Drosophila melanogaster: one gene and its partner. The protein of the gene in region 2 interacts with the protein of the main gene of each other region in a pairwise test. Each region holds a gene or a part of one and is shown on either strand. Other genes may lie near its edges.

What was found. Proteins that work in one complex are often made in the same cells at the same time.
Region 1: the proteins of CG7080 (region 2) and Sox15 interact in a two-hybrid assay, tested with the Drosophila melanogaster proteins (one large-scale study listed by BioGRID).

What each region holds. Positions count from the first base shown.
Region 1 is NT_033778.4:14,208,384-14,214,491, forward strand, and holds the start of Sox15 (Sox box protein 15), read right to left. Parts: upstream 4,031-6,108; 5' UTR 2,958-4,030; coding exon 2,905-2,957; intron 1-2,904.
Region 2 is NT_033777.3:22,326,931-22,332,189, reverse strand, and holds CG7080 (uncharacterized protein), read right to left. Parts: upstream 2,891-5,259; 5' UTR 2,823-2,890; coding exon 2,793-2,822; intron 2,724-2,792; coding exon 1,749-2,723; 3' UTR 1,644-1,748; downstream 1-1,643. Other genes in the region: CG13862 (uncharacterized protein), read right to left, coding at 1-28; CG33721 (uncharacterized protein), read right to left, coding at 389-544, 607-780, 841-996, 1,062-1,121.

The DNA of each region.
Region 1 (6,108 bases), on a different chromosome or scaffold from region 2:
TGTCGTCGCTGTGGATCCCCCCAGCCCCACTTCTTGAGGCACCACCCACCCCCATGCCATGCCGAAGAAACAACGAAGACCCAGTTCTCACACAAGCGATTTTAGGAGCATAAAAAAGATACAAAAATTTAATGGATTTTAGCACGCACACCAGCACACGCAGCCAACAGATACATGTACGTGCTCAGATACAGATACACATACAGATACTTATACGTATACACCCTCGCAGGTGGAGGGGTACTAAATTATATGGATTGCATGGAAATGGAGGCAGTGCTGCATGCTCGTACCACTAAGTAGAGTAATTGCATGTGGAGGATCCGTACTTAGCTAGTTGGCTGGATTCGAAAACAACTAACCGGACTTAAATCAGGGTGTTTTCAAAGGTTCCAACCCTTATATTTTTTTTTAGGGTTGACGTTTTACAGGGTGTTGACTGCCTTAAATGTTATTAGACCACTAATTAGTGCTATTAAAATTAATTACTCAGAAAACATTTATGTGGCTCATGTGAAGTAAGTTCGATTTTGCGGGCAGGAATATCTTTTAAAATCAGTTTTAGTTTTAGTTTCGGGTGTATTCCCGTGTATTAAGCTTTTTGTGATCTTCTGTTATGTATATGTTAGTGAATAAATTTGTATTCTTTTACATTTTTTTAAATTATCCTACAACCATAAAACAATTTTAAAGAAATTTTAAAAATGCGAAGTCCAACTTTAGGTCAGTTTAGTATAATTGCAAAACGTTTTATATAAATATTTTGTTAACAAATTATAAGCGTTTAAAACGGCAAGTTAGATTTGGATTTTTTCTCATGTATTTTTAAATCGACCAAAAGTATTTATCAGGTTTTTAAATCTACAGTGAAAGTACCGAAAATCACTTTTCTGCCATTCGGGAAATGTTGAATGAGCAATAATTTAATTTCCTTGGTAATCTGCCAAGTTTAATGCCAATCATGACATATCATTGATGTTACGTCGAATCGGATATGTCTAACCACTTTGGCGATCTCCTCTATTATCCTGTTTAATGGTAAATGTTTTTATTTTTCCACTTCAATATTACAGTTACTAAGCACGCATCTAAGGTTTCACTAGAAATCTGACAAAGTATTCAGTATTGTTTTTGATGATATTGAATATTTAAATTCCTAAAGAAATTCTTATATGATTTTTTGTTGAATGGAAAGGGATTTTTGCTCACATAATATAATAGTTTGATTGCCGTGAATGGCATGTAGTTGTAATACATTAAATTCTGTTATATCAAGTTAAAATAGGATTTCATTTTAAAATAGGAGTGTACTCTTCAGATTCATCAATACAATTAGGCGATTAAGCTGTCCAAACACGATTTATAAACATTTCGAAAGATTTATCTCTCTCTTCCAAGAAGTTACAACCATTGGAATCTCCTTTTACGTCAATGAAAACTTAAGTTCCTGGTTGCAGTAGGGAAAGTCCAGAAATGATCAAGCAAACATTAATTCTTAAATACTATTCACTTTTAGTATCCGGGAAATGTGTAAAAGGCGGACAATCAAAAACAAGTTCTAAAGGAAATAAGTAAATTTCAATTGGATATATGCATTTCCAATCCAGCTTAGTCACGGTAAAGCCTTAATTAATTTTCAAACATTGATTGGAAATCCACATATACAGATGGTTGTTTATTGGCCATAGAATTTTATTTGATATTGAAAACTATTTAGATTGAAAACGAAGTTAGCAAACTTTAGGTAGATCGCAGCCTTGACTTGATTTATGGGGCAGCCATAAAAGATCAAACTGAATGAAATGAAATGCCCCGTCCCGTGATGAGCCAATCCCAAGCAGGAAGATTTGGAAAATGTGACGAAAAATGCGACAGGCTTTCGCCCATGAGACATTCTTAATTGTGATTTTCGGTTTCGAATTTCTTACGAAAAGTGTGTGCGGACTTATCAGAGCTTTTCATCTGTACTTAATTTAATTTCATGGCTTCATTTCCATTCATAATTCCAGCCAATTTGTAGACGGGAATTTCCCGTCGGAAACTACGAAAGTCAGTCAGCTGAAATGGCTAGCTAATACGTATAAAGGGGAAATACTTATATACAGTCATATACTTATATATGGATATTAAAACCTCATGCGTATCTATCAAGCTGTGTAGATCGGATACAAATCTTTATAATGGCCTGACCTCTGGCCGAAATATACCAAATGTTAAGACTTCTTCTCGGTGCGTCGCCTGTGCGTTCTTGGCCTCTGCTTTTTCCCAGGGTCTCCACCCCCGCCGACTTCTCCGGCGTCTTGGTTTACTTTCCACTTGACCAATTTCGAGTCGCGTCCGAAGACGGTTCTTAAGTTATTCGCAGTCGACCATTTACATATTTACGTTTACGTTTACGTTTGCCGAGGGAAACGGAGAGAATCGAGAAGCGGATACGAATACAAGTGCAAGTGCTGCGGGGTCTGAAAACTGGGGCCACACCAAGGAAAATCTAAGCAAATTCCCAGATACTATATACTGTATAACCCCCATATATATATATTTATACATATATAACCGTGCTTTATAGTTGTAGCTTACTGCCACAGTGTGCATTCGACATCCCCGACGGTGTTTCTCGCTGTCGTGCCCGCCGCTAGTATCTTTGTATCTTAGTATCTTAGTATCTGTGATTGTGACTAAGTCTTGAAAAGTCGCAGTCATGGGCCCCCATATATATAAGTATATACATATTTATTGTATATATATATATATGTACGATCTAGAGAATTTCTTCACCACTACACGAGCGCCTTTTCCATTTTTCATTATGGTTATTATCTTGAAGATATGTATCTTCGCTTCGGTTGGATATAATTAAACAGCGAGAAAAAAATTTTAGCATGGGAAAAATGTAAATATTACTTGTAATTTGTTAGCAGATGATGTGGATGTTCGTGATCATATGAGGGTTCCATTTTTATACGGCAACGGCGATGTTCGTGGTAACGGTGACGGTGACGTTGATGTTGTTGCAGTTGCAGTTGTTGCTTCTGTTGTTGTAGTTGTTGCTGTTGTTTTTGCTGTTGCTGACGTCGGTGGTGGCAGGTTGAAATTGGTGTTGTTGTTGTTGTTGTTGGCTTTGCTTTAGCAGGGCCAGCAGCATTTTGCTTAATGTTGCATTATTCCGTTAGTTTTTCCCTTTGTCGGCGGTTCGGGTGGATTGGTGGGTGGTGGCGGTTGGTGGTTCGCTGGTGGTGATGGTGGTGCCACTACTACTGCTACTGATGTCTGCCGGGCCGAGCATTTTTGCCCAGTTACAGTTCCAACCATAAATTTATGTGCCACGGCATGTGTGAATTTGCGTCCATTTGTTGTCAGATTTTGTTTTGTTTGTGGCTCAGAGCCTAACCCACATTTTGGCCACAATTTCGCAATCACCGAGTGATGTAAATATATTTTTGAATCTCACTATTCACTGGTGATTATTTTGAAGATATTGAAAAATACACACTTCAAATTTGGATTTTCGATTGGCACTTGGTGTTGAAAAGATACTTTTCAACACCGGAACGATGTAAACTTTTTATTAAACAGATTGTGTCACTTTTTACATAGTTTTACCGGTATTGATCTACGTTCTTTAAAATCACTTGTTCATTAGTTTTTGGCCCTAAAGCGAGCTGTTTAAAGGTTGACTAACGAACGTATCCGTAGCCTAAAATCAAGGGCTTCGACATTTCACAAGATACAAACAGCGGATAGCGCTCTTGGGAAAATGAAAATTCACGGCACAACAGCAACTACTAAGCAAGTAACTAACTAACTAACTAACAAACTAACTAACTGGGCCTATGTACAGCGGGCCAGTTTGTATGTAGATATATATATATTTATGATTACAGCCCGGGGACGCAGATGGCGATGTCAATGGAGAGCCACCAGAGTCACTACCGAGTTCCGCCGATGCCAGGGCTTGAGTCAGAGTTAAAGGCGAACTGAAAGTCGGAGCCGCATGAACCACGCTGATGACGAACCGCAGGCCAACTGAACTCGACGACCGATCGACGCTCTCGCGAACTGGGGGAACTGTGAGCTGGCGGCTGGCAGCTGGGGAGCTGGGAGATTGTGAACCGAACTGAGGTGTCTCTGCCTTCAGAGCCCGTGCATAAGGCCAAAAAGCGAAAAGCCATAAGCTGAACCTTTCGCGCAGTCTTGAATCGAAACAGCCAGAGAGTGGCGGCAGCGGCAGCAGCAGCAGCTGTTCATCGATGCGGAACGAGCAAGTGGCTCTGGTCCGAGCCCAGGTGACTTGGCCCTGTCTCCCAGACTATGCCGTACCATAGACAAGTATACTTTACCCATAGCCTCCGAACCGAGAGCAGCGGCGAGTTCTTTTGAATCTAATGAAACACAGAGCTTGTTTAATATTCATTCGTTCGTTCGTTCGGTTCGTTTCGTTTTGTTTCGGACTCTCGCGATCTCTCGGTCTCACTTTCAGAAATGTAAAACCTGTTCCCCGAGATCCGTTTGTTGTGGGAGAGACAACTTTGCATTTGGTTTGTTTCAATTGGTGGAGGCCCCCAATGTCGTTGGGGTCCATATATACACAACCGTACGTCTGTATGTGCACATGCATATACTAGCGGATGGGGGGATAGCACCCATACACGGAAGCCAGCGTATGCAAATATCGTAATGTTCGGAACCTCTGGGAAAAGGGTGTTATTTGGATCAAATGGGGCACCGTCTTTCAGAAAGAGAGAGATTTTGCGAAAGATTCGCAAATGTTTAAATTGGCAATCTCTAAGCAAATGGAAAGCAACGAAAGTCATTAATCAAAAGGTGACTAAATGGGAATGAAAGGGATTTTCAGGCAGTTTGTAAAGAGTTTAAACTTACAAAACAATTTGTTAGTAGTAAGTCATACTATCTTGTTCACTATCAAATAGATTTTAACAGAATGTAAATCAAAAAGTAGCTCATAGATACAATATTCATAAATCTACACAAAAACTAATACATTCTCTGATCAGCAACTCAATAGTAACTATACCAACTCTCTTAACATTAAAACAAAGTTCTTATATATTTAATAAAATATATATCATGGAATAGATCACAGTTGAAAATGCTTATCTTAATACCATCTTACTGTCCATTAAGTATCCGCCCAGTGAGCCCAATGCCTTGAAAGCGGCTGTAATATTCAAATAGAGCCATATTTAATTTTTATTTCACTCTCCACCCACCAAAGTTTTTGGGGCCAAGCTGATTGGTATCCAACTGGAGATAAGCAGCCAAATTGCATATTGCAACAACTGCTGCCAGCGAACCGCACAGCCAAGCCCAAAAAATAAAAAAAATCAAAGGCACAAAAAAATCGAGATGAAGATGAGGAGGTAGAAAAGCGACGAACCTCCCAGAAGACGAGTCAAGTACGTTGGCAGGTAAAAGTGCATGCGGCCACGCGCAGGGCATTTAATAATAATAAACTCGTACTCGGATGGGGCTACCTCCATCCCCAAGCCCAGCCGGAGTTCATAATTAAGCGCCAGAATGCCGGGAAAGCCTTCGCTTCCTCTTGCCATAGATGCAAAATATTTGTTTATCACATCGCGATAATTGCCGCCGGCGATGCGAGGCCCAAGTCTTCGCGGATTCGTGGTCGTGGATTCGTCGATTTATGCATGTGCACAGGTGCGGGGCGGGGGATCGGGCAGCGGCCAAAAGGTTCCTCCGACCATCGGAGCATCGGTCAGACCAAAAGAAAGAAAATCCCAAAAGGGGGGGAGCAACTGCAGCGCAAGCGTGTGCCGATCGAGAAGGCTGGAGACTGGAGACTGAAGACTGGCGACCGAGCACTGAAGTCTGAAACCCCAAAGACCAAAGACTAAAGGCCGAGAGAACAGGAATGGGAAGCGGGGTAAAGATTGCGAATGAGGATCGGATCAAAGCGTGCCTCGGTGGTGGGTACAAGTTTATTGGCGTGGCGTATGTGCAAATAGCCGCTCCATCGACATCGACTGCTCCAAAAATGTGGGCGTGTGACACTTGAGCGGCTATCGCCAGCGAATCTCTGCCTAAATGCGGCAAAGAGGAGAAAAAAAAACAAATTATTGATAAGCA
Region 2 (5,259 bases):
CCAAGCTCAGTGCCACTCCGAGCATCATCACCTAGCAGAGTTAAGCGTTTGATGTCATCAGTGGGAAAACGAGTTATGTAGTATTCCGATTTTCGATCTGTGACTATTACCACAAAAGTTAGCAGCGAAATCGTCTTCATGGTTCTCCGTTTCCGATTCTTAATATGTCTCGTCGCTTCGGGCGCACAAAACTGACTGGCTCGAAGAAGCTCTTTCCATTCTGCTAATTTTTGGTATTCCCCTGCCCTATTAGAACCTATTATGCAATTATGTTAACGCTTATGACATAATCAAATCACTAAGAGAGAGAAAAAGGCGACAATATTAACATAAGCAATAACGTAGAATTGTTTGATAATTTTAATAAATTTTAAACCGCTGCTTCTGATTATGATACAGTATAATATATGGAGATGGTGGCCCGTTCTATGTTTCTGCTGTACCATATGCTGTTAAAACTGTAATCCCCAGGTGGGAGTGGAAGGATGTTGGTAAAGTGCTCACTCAGATATTTGGAGGGAAGTCTGTCTATGATAAGGTCGTGCTGTAAAAATGTTATTGTATAACATCTAGAAATAATCATTTGAAAAGTTCTCATTAACCCACATCATAGGGACATTTATGGTTGGTATTTGTGTATTTTTTGGTGATCTCCTCGAAAAGTCTGAGCATCGGATTGGCCAAGTTCTTCTTGTAAGCCATATATTTGCAAACATCTATGCTGGCGGCTATGGTTATGGGCATATAGGACCGAAATCTTCTCGAAATTTGAAGTTTTGCCTACATCAATATATACGCTTAGTGAGTGGGATTTTTAAGCCATTTTTTTTTAATACATACCGATGCGTTTGTAATAGGTACTTCGTACATGTTGGCCTTGAGTGATATGTACTTATAGGTTCGATTTACGGATTTTATGAAACAGTACTCGAAGCTCAAATAAGTCGGGTCCTTCACATGACACTTAAAATTCGTAAACTCCAACTTGGAGGCATTCTGGGGTTAAAAACAAATGACTGCATCTTTATAATGTAAGATGCTTAATTTTATTGTATCCTTACTTCCATTATATTTCCAAAAAATATAACTAGCACAAACAATTTTGCTGCCTTGGAGTACATTTGTGTAACTGAACAAGCCAACGATGACTAAAGTCATACAATTTTCATAAACTAAATGTGGTTTGGTAATGAGAAATTGATTAATTACAAAGTGTTTTTATTGATCTGGAACCATTTAAATATTATCTATACATATAATAAGCTGCGTAATTAGCTATGTATATATGTCAATCAAATTTTAATTAGTATCAAAAATATTTTTGCGAACCCATAACTCCCTTTTCTTATCTATTTTAATAGTTTTTTTTTGGTCATACTATATTCCCAATTGCATTTACGACCAGACATTTGCATCTGTGGTTAGGTACATCGACCCCATTTCTCGCTGTGTAATCAATTTAGCTAATTAGCATTTCATGGCTCGACCATATGCAATCCCACAATAAAATATCACCATCACCAGCTGATTGAGCAACATGCAACAGGTTATGCGATTAACATATTTGCTGAATCGAATGGACTTGTATGCCTACTTTTGGGCTTGTTAAATTAATCACCCGAAACGGTAAGTATGCGTGATTTAAAATTTAAACAATGATCGATTTATTTACAACAAACAACAAACTGACAACTAAGCATATCAACTAATTCGATGTGAAATTCGGTGAGTAAGATTAGAGAGGACATTTAGTTGTAGGGGTATCTGGAGAGGACCTGCTCCTTGCGCTCGAAAGTGCGTCGATTCTTTGGTCGCAACTGACCCTGACTATTGACAGCAGCTCCCGCTGGCACATAGATCACCTGGCTCTTGTAGCAGCCCTCCACTCGAGGTTGGGTACTGGCTCGCACTGTCTGCAGAACCCGCTGGTGGCTCTCATCCACCTCGCCTGGATTGAACTCCTTCTGCTGGCAGGCTCCACCTCCCGGGCAGCTGGTGACGAACCTTTGGTACTCTCGGTTTTCTCCGGGAGTGCTCTGCTTGTAGTCATAGGCATCCAAAGAGGAGCTCTGCGACTGAGCCACCTGGTTACCCACTCGAGTTTGTGGTGGCGCAGCTCCGGTGGCTTGCAAAAGCTGAGCCTGCACTTCATTGGGCGCCACACCTGATCCATGTCCTGCATCCAGCACCTGTTGCCCCGAGCCGGTCGTCACAGGGGCATAGGGAAACGGATTGCCGAAGAACAATTTCTGGGCAGGCTGCTGAGGTGGCAAATAGCTTGCAGGTGGCTGCTGCTGTTGGGGGAAGTATTGGGGAGTCTGCGGTGGAGGTTGCAGAGGCTGTGACTGGTGCTGCAGGTGAGGTGGCCCATAGCTGGTCAGTGGCTGGGCAGGAGCAGCGGGAGCTGGAGGCGCCAAGGACACGGTGCCGGCCTGGTAGTTGGCGCTGACCAGCAGGGGATTCTGGTAGCTAGAAGTGTGCAATTGTTGGCGGGGAGCCTGATGATACTGCGGCACCTGTCGCTGCTGGAAGAGCTGCACAATATGCGTCTGATAATCCTCATAGATGGCTGGTGCCCTTTGGGTTTCCAAACCGTAGGTGCGACCCAAAGTCTGCACCACAAACTTGGTGGCTTGAGGCTGCTGGTGCTGATGGTAAGATTCCGCAACGAAAGGAGTCTGTGGACGGTGGTAATGATAGTCCTGGCAGCTAACCAAAGCCAGCTGTGGGTAAAGAATTTAATCCAGCTTAAAGGTATATCCTTTTTTTAACGGCAGCACTAGTTAACCCACCGTCGAGACTAACAGCCATATGGAGGGCATCTTGCTCGCTTTTTTTGTTGGACACTCGACGCGTTGTGAACTCTTCGCCGGCTGGCAACTAAATGAACTTCGGCAGGGCAGACACCCGCCAAGCCAACCCAACCCGCCAGAAGATCACTCCGAAAACGGGTTTTGGCATAGCTCGGTATAGTATGGCTCCGACTGCCGCCACTTTTGCCAGCTGGCTCTGATTCGTTGTAACAGTTCGAACACATAATTTCATAATTTCTTTTCCATTTATTGTCTCTGCGGTGTTTATTTCTTATTTGTTTACCTTTTTACCTTTTTACCCCGCTCCAACACTCGAATGATGCTTGCGGCATCATTTGACTATCACTCACGCAAATTTTGTCGTAATTAAAGTGCCAGCTCTGCTGCTCTGGCTGCTCTTCATTGTCTACCTGCATTTCACCACGCACTCGGAAAAATTATGACAGTTCTAAAAAAGCTTAAGGCTTTCATCCAAATATCTTGCCACTTTAAATAATAGTTATAATCTTAAATTTAGATGTATGTGTAATAGAGTTAACAACAATAATTGCCTATTCATAGTTTTGTTGCTTATGCTAATTTCTAGTCCACGGAAATATACCACATTTTTTTTTAGTGCTGAGGGCCGTGAAAATGGTTTCGGCCTTTCCGCTTTTAGCCACTTCAGTACGGTTCGCTTTGGCCAAGTTTAATGTAATTTAATTCGCCTCGCATCATCGGTCTGCGCTTTCTGCGAAGCAAGTTATGTTTTGAAGCTCGGCGAAAAGTAAAAGTTGGATCTTGGCTCAAATACGCAGGCATAACTATATAACTTTATGCTTGTGTTTAAATATGTCTGCTGATTTGCAAATGATTTGCAAACTATTAAACTCGCATAAGGCCCGTTTAATCTATTTTTATAGGTGCGTTATTTTGAAGTTTTTATGTCTTTCAGATTGCTCATAATGTGTTTATAGGTGTTGATCACCTTACGCACACAATTCAAATATAAATTCATTGTTTAGTGTGAGGGAGTTACCTTATAATGGTACGTTGATTGCTTGTAATATATATGTGGTCTTTAAAGGAGAAGAGAAACTGCATTTTCCAAGTGCTGTGTTGTAACTTTACACAAAATAGATGCTCAACTTCAGACCCATCTTTCATTGTCGTTTCGTACATAATTAGGCTAACCAGACGTATTCATAAATATGCAGCAAACCAGTTGATTTGCTGGCTCCGATGTTGCAACCCAATCCGATTCCCATTCGGCCGGATTAAGCGATTGACACGCACCAGAAATGTTACAGCTCTTGAGCATTAAAGGAAGCCAGACTTTGATATTCGGATTGTGCTGACGTCGTCTTTGTTTCTGCGTTTCCGTTTGACAATTGCCACGCAGTCGCCTGCAGCTAAATTCCTTGGCGATTGTCCTCGTCCTTCGTCCTGCTCCCTTTGCCATAGTTCCCGAACGCGGGCTAACGTCAATCAAAGACGCGCCCTGTTAAATGCACTTGACTGCCACTTGACACAGCAAATGTTGCTGGCGTTGTTCCGGCGTCAAACAAAACATCTTGGCAAGCCAACTGCCAACACTTGACATTCGCCATGAATGCAGCCGAGATCAGCGGGACCTTCGGTCCTGCAGAGGGTGGTACACTCGAAAAAAGAGTCTCAATTAATTGCCTAATGAGAGTATTTTTTAATTTTTACCCTAGTAGACCACAAATAGAAATTTTAGTAACATGGTGCATTGTATATTCTCCTTATAAAATATTCAAATAGTTCCTAACATTTTTCTTTGGAATTAGAACGCAGTGTAAGAACGCACAAAACGCGGGCAGCTGTCGCAAATGGAAATGTAGATGCCGAGATGCGGTGGCTTATCACGCTGACACGAGAGTAGGAGGTGCTCATAATGCAAGTGGCCAATGCTGCGTATACGCAATCTGCTGCAGTTAAGTCTTAAAAGCAGGGAGAGCTTGAGTGGAAGGTGGTGGGTGGGTGGTGCATGGCTGGGCCGGCGTAGTGTCCTCTTCATCTGGAGTGTGGGTGCGTCTGTGAGTCGTCTGTCTCTGCAGCCTGTTTGCATTCATTGCAGTCATGCATTCAGGGTTATGAGCCCCAGCCAAGTTGCATGCAACCTCTGAGGAGATAGAGCACGTGCAATTCTTCCGCATGTTTGTGTGCGTGTTTTTTCCAGTTTATTTTTCGCCATATAAAGCGTCACTTTAGACACCTGCCTCTGTACATGTGTGAGTGAGCTTGCTAGCCGCTTTGTTGCCGACTTTTGGGCTTTAGTTGCTAGCAGGGGATCTGCTTAATTAGGCGCACCTGCTGGGGCAGCGGCAAATTAGTAGCAGCCAAGTTGAATGACCTTTGACAGGCAAGTGAACCAAAAAACGTAAAAACACAAGAAAGCCGGGGAGAAAAGTCAGCGGCGTACAAACAATGCAACAGCGTTGGA